3 linked regions of the Tamandua tetradactyla genome follow. The protein of the gene in region 1 interacts with the protein of each later gene in a pairwise test. Links are inferred from orthologs where the notes say so. Each region holds a gene or a part of one and is shown in the gene's direction. Other genes may lie near its edges. The genes, in order: DTNB, HMG20A and ZBTB9.

Region 1 (3,749 bases):
TGTGTGTTGCTCTCGAGAAGTCTGATGCCATTGAGTTTGACTACCAGTCTCCTTAACAAGCTACTCATCTGAAAAAGTAATAGCTTCAAAAAAGAACCAATATTATTTTAATTTCAAAATTTGGGGGTCAGGAATTTGGGAAGAGGTTGGCTGGATGGTTGTTCCATCAGCAGTATTCAGCTAACAGCTGGGCCCGTCTAAGGGTTCACAGTGACATCCTCACGTGCCTTGTGCACTGAGGGGGTGTCCCAAATGCTGGGCGCAGCAAGGCCTTCTCCCTTCCCATGCAGTCCCAGGGCCACTCCCCAGGCAGTTAGATTTTCTTAACAGTGGCTTGTGGCTCCAAGAGCAGGTATTCCCAAAGAGCAGGTAAATGCTTCAAGGCTTCTAATAACCCTGCCTTGGCAGTCTCAGAACATCATTTATGCCACATTCTATTGCTTAAGCACTTCACTAAAGCAAGCCTGGGTTGAAGGAGCAGCAAAGAATTTGCAGCCATCTTTAATCTTGCTGCAGCCTAGTTTTCTACCCTAGTTTTCAAATTGCTTAAAGCAATTTGAATCATTTGCCTGGAAACCCTGAGGATTATTATTAATCCTTCTGTCTAATAGGATAGCTTTCTGAGCTAACCACTTTGTGGCAGTTTTACGAGGTACGTTGTGGACTCTTTCATTATGTAGGTTTATGTTTTCTTTTATTTTCAGAAAGTTACTTGGGTTATAGTTTTAAATATTAGTGCTGTTCCATTGTTTTGTTTTTCTTTTTCAGGAACCTCGGTTACTCATACCTTGGGTATTCTTTGCTTCTGTTGAAATGACATTCCAACCAGAGAGACAAACAAATACGAAAGCATGGAGGTAAGAGAAAGTAGGAACATTCCAGAAATGGATGGCATGTGTGTACAGGGAGCAAACAGAGATGGGTGTGGAGAAGTAGGCAAGGGCTAGATTAGTGGAAAATTCCTATGCTGTGCTGAGGACTTGTAATTTCATCCTGAATGTAATGTGGAGGCAATATAGGACTATGTACTATATTACTGTAAATAATGTACTATGGACTGTAAATTTTTAAAAAATTATTTATTAATTAAAAAATTAAGAAACCAAAAAATCAACATATATAATCAGTAATTCACAATATCATCATTTAGTTGCATATTTATCATTTCTTAGAAAATTTGCATTAATTCAGAAAAAGAAATAAAAAGACAATAGAAAAAGAAATAAAAAGAACACAGGAAAGGAAAAAAAAAATATTATACCTACCATACCCCTTACCCCTCACTTTCATTGATCACTAGCATTTCAAACTAAATTTATTTTAGCATTTGTTCCCCCATTATTAATTTTTATTCCATATGTTCTACTCTGTTGTTGACAAGGTAGATAAAAGGAGCATCAGACACAAGGTTTTCACAATCACACAGTCACATTGTGACAGCTACATCATTATTCAATCATCCTCAAGAAACATGGCTACTGGAACACAGCTCTACATTTTCAGGCAGTTCCCTCCAGCCTCTCCATTACATCTTGAATAACAAGATGATATCTACTTGATGCATAAGAATAACCTCCAGGATAACCTCTCAACTCTGTTTGGAATCTCTCAGCCATCGACACTTTGTCTCATTTCCCTCTTCCCCCTTTTGGTCGAGAAGGTTTTCTCAATCCCTTGATGCTAAGTCTCAGCACATTCTAGGATTTCTGTCCCACGTTGCCTGGAAGGTCCACACCCCTGGGAGTCATGTCCCACGTAGACAGGGGGAGGGTGGTGAGACTGCTCATCGTGTTGGCTGGAGAGAGAGGCCACATCTGAGCAACAAAAGAGGCTCTCTTGGGGGTGACTTTTAGGCCTAAATTTTAAGTAGACTTGACCTATCCTTTGTGGGGTTAAGTTTCATATGAACAAACCCCAAGACTGGGGGCTTAGCCTATAGCTTTGGTTGTCCACACTGCTTGTGAGAATATCAAGAATTCAACTTGGGGAAGTTGAATTTCTCCCTGTTCTCACCATTCCCCAAAGGGGGCTTTGCAAATACTTTTACACTCACTGATCGAATCACTCTGGGATTCATCGGGGCATCACTCTGGACAAACCAACAAAATCTCATGTCCTACCTGAGATTCCAAGTACTTATGGCGTTCAATCAAACTATCTACATGGACTGTAAATTTTGAAAATTTTCTCTGACCTGCAGTATGGAAGAGAGATCGGAAGGAGCAAGACTACAGGAGTGTGGTAGTCAGGTTCAGTTGTCAACTTGGCTAAGTGAAGGTACATAGATCTGTTGCTGTGGACATGAGCCAATGGTACGTGAACCTCATCTGTTGCTGATTACATCTGTAGTCGGCTAGGAGGCGTGCCTGCTGCAATGAATGATGTTTGATTTAATTGGCTGGTGCTTAAATGAGAGAGCACAACATAGCACAGCCCAAGCACCTCAGTATACCTCATCTCAGCACTCGCAACTCAACCCAGGCCTTTAGAGATACAGAAAGGAATCACCCCAGGGAAAATTGTTGGAACCCAGAGGCCTGGAGAGAAGGCCAGCAGAGACCATCCTGTACCTTCCCACATAAGAAAGAACCTCAGTTGAAAGTTAGCTGCCTTTTCTCAGAAGAACTAATGAAATAAATCCCCTTTTATCAAAAGCCAATCTGTCTCTTGTGTGTTGCATTACAGCAGCTAGCAAACTAGAACAAGGAGAAAGAATGGTTAGAATGCTGTTGCATTAGTCTAAGTGAGAGGGGCTGAAGGTTCTAGAGTTATTCACGAGGGTGAATCAACGAGATGTAGTGACTGATTGGGTATGGTAGGGAGGGTGAGGACAAGCTCAAGGATGGCTCCCTGGCTTCTGAATTGGGCAAATGGGTGGACAGTGGTGCTAAACAGTTTTATAAATATAGAGCTTGAGGTATCTCTAGGACCTCTCAGGTAGAGAAGTCTGGTAGACTGTTGTATAGGGAACCCAGGTGAGTGGCTGACATGGAGATAATGTGTGTGGGAGTTGCTGATACCTGTGGTGGGTGAGGACAGAGGGTGAATGCAATGGCTCAGTGATAAAGTATGGGGTGAGCTGAGGGGTGAGGACAGTGCTGTGGAGACTGAGAGCCATGAGAGGGCTTAAGAGAGGAGTTGTGTACTGATGGCCAAGGGAGTTTCAGAAACAGTGGAGCACTGTGTGGTGAAATGCCACTGAGTGCTCTAGTAGTATGGGGCCTCAAAAGTGGCTTTTGGGATTTAGGCCATTAGTTGAGAGCAGGGCAGCCCTGTGGTGGGGACAGAGGCTGCATAACCACAGCTAAGGAATGAGAAGCTGCTGAAAACAGAAGGAAGAGCAGACTGCTTTCAAGACATTTGACTGTGAAGGGAAATATGGCGAGGTGGGGGCAGGATCTGGAGTACAGATAGGCTTCTTTCTTTTTCTCTAAGACATGAAAAGTAGGAGCATTTATAGATGCTGAAGGAAAAGGACAAATAGGTAAGAGAGGCTGACACACAATTTTGGAGGTGAGAGGGAAGAATGAATGAAATATGTTTGAAAGAAGTTTTCTGAGAATTTGGGAGTTGATGAAATACAGAACAGAGAAGGTGAGATGCTAATACAACTTCACTTAAAGTTTCTGCTTCCCCAAATGTTTATAATAGCCTAGCCCACATACTGAAATTACCTTGGCTTCAATCAATAGGGCAAAGAGAGCAAGCAATATTTACATATTTATTCTACATCATTTACACATCTGTTC
Region 2 (3,749 bases), on another chromosome or scaffold:
ATCAAAAAGCTTTAAAGAAAATAATTTAACTTCTTTCCCCCATAAGATAGTCACATTAGAGTCTCCTAAATAAAGAAATGATAAAATATTTTCCCCTCTTCCTTGAGAGGCTTGTTTTTTCACATAGCTTGTGACTTGGTCATAGCCAAAACTCATTAGCAATGGTATGAATTTTGCTTCCATTGTTAACTGTTAAACTCTGGGCTGAGGCTATTACTCCCATTTTTAAAGCTAAGAAATACCTACCATTATAGTTTACAAAACGAGTCACCAAAGAGAAGTGCCCAGAGACTTCAGAAAATAATTAGTGTAGTCAGTGAATTGAGATATCTAGAAATGCTCTGAGATTACAGGAGAAGCCATCATGAAGTGAGTATCCAAGATTGCTCACGGAAAGTTTTACCCCTGTGGATAATTCACGTTTTTCATTTCCACACTGCAGAGAGCAATATGAGTTCTCCTACTACACACATTACTGTATCACTTTAATTATCAGAAAAAAAAAAAAACTGTGGCTGAACATTCCATCTGTAAGTAGGCCCCAGAACAAAATCCTCAAGTCAATCTCAATTCAGGTGAAAAGCTGTTCACATACATCACCGGATGACCTAATAACAGTCTTTTATGTAAGTCTCCAAGTACTTAATTCAAGGTATAATCTCACCATATTTAATAGAGGCAGGGGAAAAAAACTTATTAGGTTTTCTATAGCAAGGCCAATTAAGATGAAACCATAGTTTTCCTCTAACTCATCACTACCCCCTCAACGCCAGCCTTCCAATAACTTCATTCCACAGCTCCCAAATTCCCAAACTTGGATTTAAAAAAAAAAAAAAGCAGATTGCAAGAAAGTAACATTTAAAGGGGGGAGGGGTACTTTTTCCTGTTGCTGTCAGCAGTCTTTAACACAGTCACAGGATGAAAAACGAAATCAAGCTCTCAGACAGATGATGCATGCGAAGGGGGGATTTTGGGCAGCAAGACCTCCTCGAAGGAAGCAAAAAAAAGTTGCAAGGACGATGAGTCAAAGGGCAAAAGAGAAAGAAATTGGCTAACCGAACCACTCAAAACCCCCAAACACCAAGCGAACCCGCAATCAGGGGGCTCACCAGCAGCAGAGGGAAGAGAGCAGGGTTTCTTCTCGACGCTACTGGCGTGGTTGCGCCGGATCCTCCCCGGCTTGGGAGCGGGAGGACGGTGTAGACTTAGCAGGAGGGAGAGGAGCCCTTCCAGCCCCGGCCTCCCGCGTCCAGCTTCTCCGGGCTTCACTTTCCACAGCAGCCACCCAGCCGCGCCCGGGGGCGTCCCTCACCGTCAGGTCCCAACTTTCCCTCCTCTGGGGGGCGCCGCGCGATCTGGGCGGCCGCCGAAGACGGGGGAGGAGGCGGCGGGGGGCGCGAGGGGGTGCGCGGCGCCGGCGGGGCGCGAGGCCAGCCGGAGCCGGAGAGACCGAGCGGGGCAGGACGCACTGGCCGCCTAAGCCCCCGCGGCGGCGCCAACCAGACCCCGCGCCGCCCGGCCCGGATTCCCGCGGGTCAGAGCCCTCACCCCGAAGCGACCCCAGCCCCATGACCCGAAGCGTGAGAAAGGAGCGGAGAGGACGCGGACAGCCCTCCCGTTACCTGAAGGGCGCACAACGCCGCCGCGGGGACCACCATCGCAGGCGTCCCGTTTCCTTCCTGGTGACTGCAGCCGCCACCGCTGCCGAACAACTGGCACTGACTAACAACAACTAGCAAACTACTCGCCGCCGCTGAGTCCACCGCGCGCTCCCGGCCGCTCGCCACCCGCCCAACCCACCAGCCTGCCCGCCTCCTCCCAGACCCGCGCGCCACCTTTCTGCGCGCGCACCCGTGCGCCGCTCTCCTCTAGCTCTTCCCGGGAGCGAGCACGCGCGCGCGCACGGGCCCTCAGCCTCTCTCGCCTCTGTGTAATGGGAGGAGTCAACGCAAGTCCCCTCCTCTCCGCGTTCCCATCCAAGGAGGATAAGACCTAAAAGCGATTGATTGGCGGGGGGGCGTGGCCATAGTCAGAGGGCGGGGCGACAGGGCCGACAGCCCGCAAGAAGGAATATTTGGGTTCAATTAAATACCAGAGGGTAAAGGGGAACGACGTATGGACCATTTGACTATGTCAGCCTGCTGTTGACTTCAGAATATGTGTTTTCAAGGACTGCTGTGCATAGTAGTAACCAATTTAACATCGCTACTTCCTGCGGGTTTTAGAGAGAAAATAAAAGAACTACATCTCCCAGAAACCTTCGCGAATTGCCGCACCTTGCGTAGTCACGTACTACTTTGCCGCGTTTGAGCAAAATAATCCCTTAATTTTTCTGCAGGAATCGGAAATATTTCACTTTTCTCCTCACCGGAACAATTTTAAATGTTACTGCGATAAGAGAAGCTACCTATGGGGAGGTGGTTAAGAGATTAGGTAAGGAGAAAGAAAGGACATAAAAATAAAGTGCTGCGGAGGAATTTTTGTCAAGCTGTGAGACAACGACGTGCGAAGAGTGAAGGCGATTGAGAGGGGCTGAGGGAATTCTCCTCTGTACAAGGGACTTTCTTTAGGTCCCAGGCCCCTGCTTGTCTCTTTCGTCAGCAGGTCAGTAAGCAAGGCGAGTTTGGGGGGTGACCACAGTCGAAGTGTCCTTTAGCCCATGAAAATCATCCATCTTTTGCCGTTGTTGTTACTGGTTAGCTACGGATTGAGGCTGATTGAATGGGGGAGCCTCACTTCCGTTGGGGGAGGGGTGATAGGCTGTCCTGGGGTGGGGGAGGACGTAATTCACTTCCTGTGGGGGGTAGGCCAATGGTTTTGGGGTGTCCAACCCACTTCCAGTGCGGACGAGGGTTTGAGAAGGTGGTTGGTGCTGTTTATATAGATGGAATCTTCTAGCTTTGGGACTGTTTGTTTTTTTTTTTTTTTGTAAATTAGGTTATTCCATCAAGTTGTGCTAATCCCCTGCCTCCAACCAGAATTTATGTGAGTTTTATTACCAAATGCAAGATGGAAAATTTCCTCCACAACAGAAATTTCCTAATGCTTTTTTACTTAAAAGAATTCAAAATCGCTTTTTAAAATTCTCCATCTCTGCAAGACGAGATACTTTCTTGTGTGACTCATGGATTGCCTACCCCGCTCCACTAAAGTCCAGCCTTGGTAGTGTTCTCTGCCTTGATATGCGCTCTGTAGCTTCTCTTTTTAAGGAGGTCATTTATGAGAGGACAGAATATTTTACTTAAGTTATGAGGCATCTTCACGTTATCAGAGTGAAAGTGTCTTGCTGTAGTTCTCAGATATTTGGTGTCACCTTAACTAACATAAAAAATTTGGTATATTTAAATTCTTATACCTGTTGACTCCAGACTACAGGTTTTGCCCTGTGCTGGAGAACAACTCCCTCAGGCTTAAAAATTCTTAAATGTGAAAGTTGTATTTTAGTACATTGTCCCCCCTTGTAATATAATTAAATTGAGCACCGATTTTTTTTTTTAAAGTGGTATCTGTTCTTTGCAACTTTAAGGTTTATGGTGCCTGAGATTCAACCCACATTTTAATTAGGGGGGAAAATGGATTCAAAAAAGAATAAAAGATGACTAAAAAAGAACTTTCCTTTTTTCCTGTATTCTCTATTTTTTATAAGAAACTGTGTAGAGAGTGGTAATAAACACGCAATAGTTTTGATTCCCTGGCTTCTATTGTGAAGTATCACAATATTTGCCTTTGCTTGTGTGTGCGCGCGTGTG
Region 3 (3,749 bases), on another chromosome or scaffold:
TTTCCTCTGCTTTCCCCACCTCAGGCCCCTACCCCTGGACCTCTTTCTTCCTCTCCTCTTTGGCTGTTGTAATTATCTGGGGTTTGTACTGTACATATCCGGGGTGTGTGTGTGTGTGTGGGCTGGGGGCAACTCCTCTGTACAGAGCTTCCTGGCCCTCCCTTTTGTCCCCACCCAACCCACCAAGGGTAGGGAGCTGCTCTTCCTACCTGTTTTATTTTGTTTTCTCGTTCTCCCTCCCAATCCAACTCCCAAACTTCTCTAACTCCCACCACTGTCCCTTTTTCTCAACTCCCAGCCTCATTTCCTTTTTTTCTGGAGTGTGTGGTGAAACAGAAAAATCATGTTTAATAAACGGAGATCGTTCTTTTATCGCTGTGGTGCCTTTCATAGGCTGGGACCTCCAGACCGACCAGTGCGATCTTCATTTTTAAAGTAGGCTGACAGCCTGGGAGAATGGCCATCTACCCCTCCGTGATGCTACAGCCCTCAAAAAATATCACTCCCAAACCAGCGAGGAGATTTATTCCATGCTGTTATCGAGAGCAGGGGTTTTGCAGGGACAAGCCAAATCTCCTCAGTCTAGCTCTCCCCGCACCCACTGCTCCACTTAGGAAAGAAGCGAAGAGGCCGGGATAGAGCGGCATTATCTAAAGGATTCCAAGTCTATATCTACATATATCTAATTTCAAAAGGTAATTCTTGCAAATAAGGTTTAATTGTCGGTTATAATACTCCTATGCCATACGAGGAAAGTCTGGTTCGTTAGCAAATATGGGTTCCCATCCCAGGCCCACCATTTATCAGGCGAGAGACTTAGCTTCGGTTTTCCTCTCCTGGAAGCTGAGGACCGCAATGCCTACTTTGCGGGGCTGTTGGGTGGATGCGAGGTGATGAGGGAAGGTGCTGGCCCACAGCAGGCGCTCAATTAGCCTCGCCCCCATGGGCACCTACCGGCGGGGGAGAGGCGGGCGCTACACTTACTAGCCGGGAAACGCAGCTTTCCGGGACGACTTACAGTTCGCCCCTTCGTTCCTGGCTTCCCGACCTCCCGGAGTGGCGGAGAGGTCAGCAGCATCCCGCTGTCCCCCAAAACGCCCGGGCTCCAGGCTCCAAGCTCCAAGCAACGCCTTTCTCACCTGGGCAGCCAATCAACCACAAGCTTGTAGACTACCGGCCTCCGATTGGCTGCGGCTCCGGCTGCGGCTCTAGTCCCGCCCGGCGTCGGCGTCCAGCGGGAAGGCGGTGGCTTCCGGCCCGGGAAGGCGCTGGAGCTGGGGAGGTGCTGGGGTGTCTACCCTGAGTGTTCAACGGCGGGGGCGTGTCGGCGGGGAAGGCAGTCTGGTGGTGCCCTGCGGTCTCTCGGTGACGGTGGCCTCCCGGCAGCCCTTCTCTGGAGCATCGTGAGGGGGAACGGAGAAGCGGGGTAGGAGTGGTCCGGAACAGGTGAGGTCAGGGACTTCCTCCTCCTCAGTTTCCGCGGGCTCTGGAAGTTAAAACCCCGGTTTTTGCTTGGTGATGGTGTTTTGTTTTTGTTTTATTGGTGGGGAAGGGCGCAGAACTGATCTGCGGAAACCACCGCTGATGGAAAAGTTTCCAAATTTGGGGGGGGGGGCGGTTGTTTGAGAAGACGTGGTTCCCCTTATCCAGGGCTTCTGTAACTTCCATCTCGTTTCTCCACAGCCTGTATCCGCCCTGGGGTCTATCCCCAGTCCCCATCTCCTCTTCCTGATCCTCTAGGATCTCTCTTTTCGAGGAGGCCATGGATACATCGACGCCTTGGCCTCCTGTGCCTACCTCCCCGATCTTCAACCCAGCCCCACGGACAATCCAGATCGAGTTCCCTCAGCATAGCTCGTCGCTGCTGGAATCCCTGAATCGACACCGACTGGAAGGGAAGTTCTGTGATGTGTCCCTCATGGTACAGGGTCGAGAACTTAGGGCCCACAAAGCAGTGTTGGCTGCTGCTTCTCCTTACTTCCATGACAAGCTGCTTCTGGGGGATGCACCACGCCTCACCTTGCCTAGTGTCATTGAAGCAGATGCCTTTGAGGGGCTGCTCCAGCTCATTTACTCAGGGCGCCTCCATCTGCCACTCCATGCCCTCCCTGCCCACCTCCTTGTGGCCAGTGGACTCCAGATGTGGCAAGTAGTAGATCAGTGCTCAGAGATTCTTAGAGAACTAGAAACCTCAGGTAATGGAATTTCAGGCCATGGAGTGACCCCCTACCACACCCTTCTTTCCACCACATCCTCTCCAGGAGGCTGGTGCATTCGTTCTCCTCCTTTCCAGACCATGGTGCAGTCCACTGCTTCTACAGATAGCCCTGTGGGAGGGGAGGGAAGTGAACTGGGAGAGGTGTTACAGATTCAAGTGAAGGAAGAGGAGGAGGAAGAAGAGGAAGAAGAAGATGAGGACCAGGGATCAGCAGCACTCTCTCAGACTCAACCTCAGAGAGTATCAGGGGGGTTTCCCCACTCTCATGGATCCCACCCACTGCCCATAGCTGTTACTCCACACAGGCTTCCAGAGGGTGAGAGTGCACCGACTGAGCCTCCTGCCCCTCCTACTGTGCTGCCCCCCAAAATCTTCTACATTAAGCAGGAACCTTTTGAGCCTAAGGAGGAGGTATCAGGAGGTGGAACTCAGTCTGGAGGAGCAAAAGAGGAGACCAAAGTGTTCCCTGAAGGGGACAGGGAGCTAGGGTTCTTACTGCCCTCAGGAGCAGGGACAGCATCTGGGGGAGGGAGCCCATCCTGGAAACCAGTGGATCTTCATGGGAATGAAATCCTGTCAAGAGGTGGAGGACCTGGGGGAGCAGGACAGGCTGTACATGGGCCTGTGAAGCTAGGGGGAGCACCCCCTGCAGATGGAAAATGCTTTGGTTGCTTGTGTGGGAAACGGTTTGCAGTGAAGCCAAAGCGTGACCGGCACATCATGCTGACCTTCAGCCTTAGGCCCTTTGGCTGTGGCATCTGCAACAAGCGCTTTAAACTGAAGCACCATCTGACAGAGCACATGAAGACCCATGCTGGAGCGCTGTATGCCTGTCCCCACTGTGGTCGTCGGTTCCGAGTCCATGCCTATTTCCTTCGCCATCGGGACCTATGCAAGGGCCAGGGCTGGGCCACTGCCCACTGGACTTACAAGTGACTGCTGAGGCCATACATTGACTTCCAGGACAAGAGAGCCACTGCTGCTGATGGATACTCATCTCTCATTACCCTGGCACCCCAGTCCTGGATATTGCAATCATGCTAAAAGGATGAATAGATTATGGTTCTGCAGGTGCTCTCTTGTTCTTGGGTATGGGCCTCAACCTGGCAGATTTGATAATTCAGATTTTTCATCTCCAGGTTTTTGCTAACCACTTCACAGGAAAGTGATTTACATGCGATATTTAAATAGATCACTTGCCCATAATGGACCTTCCTTTCCTAGTGGTGATATCCATTCAGGAAACCAAATTTCATATCAGAAGACTATTTAGTGAGAGAAGTGTTAGAGCAAAGAAGACATAATGATAAATGTATCATTCTGTGTCCGTGAGGAGGTAAAGGAGCTGGTCTCCATCTAGGGATACATTTGATTCAGTTTGAGTTATTCAGGGGCCAAATTCTAAACTTTCCTCTCCCTCATCACTGCTGTAATGATGTGAGCAGAGTTCTTTTTCTGTATTTTTGTTGTTGTTGTTGTATCTTTGTAGAAACCTCTCAGATCATTTGCTTTCTTACCAGTAAATACCTTA

What was found.
Region 2: the proteins of DTNB (region 1) and HMG20A interact in binary tests that used the Homo sapiens proteins (3 or more experiments, as listed by UniProt). The two-hybrid records come from large-scale screens. The link is inferred for Tamandua tetradactyla from reciprocal best matches to the Homo sapiens genes DTNB and HMG20A.
Region 3: the proteins of DTNB (region 1) and ZBTB9 interact in binary tests that used the Homo sapiens proteins (3 or more experiments, as listed by UniProt). The two-hybrid records come from large-scale screens. The link is inferred for Tamandua tetradactyla from reciprocal best matches to the Homo sapiens genes DTNB and ZBTB9.

Annotation. Positions count from the first base shown.
Region 1 is NC_135329.1:9,285,032-9,288,780, reverse strand, and holds the start of DTNB (dystrobrevin beta), read left to right. Parts: upstream 1-768; 5' UTR 769-813; coding exon 814-857; intron 858-3,749.
Region 2 is NC_135338.1:65,795,063-65,798,811, forward strand, and holds the start of HMG20A (high mobility group protein 20A), read left to right. Parts: upstream 1-1,446; 5' UTR 1,447-2,433; exon of another isoform or gene 2,434-2,604; intron 2,605-3,749. UniProt on the Homo sapiens protein: Plays a role in neuronal differentiation as chromatin-associated protein. Acts as inhibitor of HMG20B. Overcomes the repressive effects of the neuronal silencer REST and induces the activation of neuronal-specific genes.
Region 3 is NC_135331.1:89,436,089-89,439,837, forward strand, and holds the start of ZBTB9 (zinc finger and BTB domain-containing protein 9), read left to right. Parts: upstream 1-1,262; 5' UTR 1,263-1,446; intron 1,447-1,683; 5' UTR 1,684-1,762; coding exon 1,763-3,154; 3' UTR 3,155-3,749. UniProt on the Homo sapiens protein: May be involved in transcriptional regulation.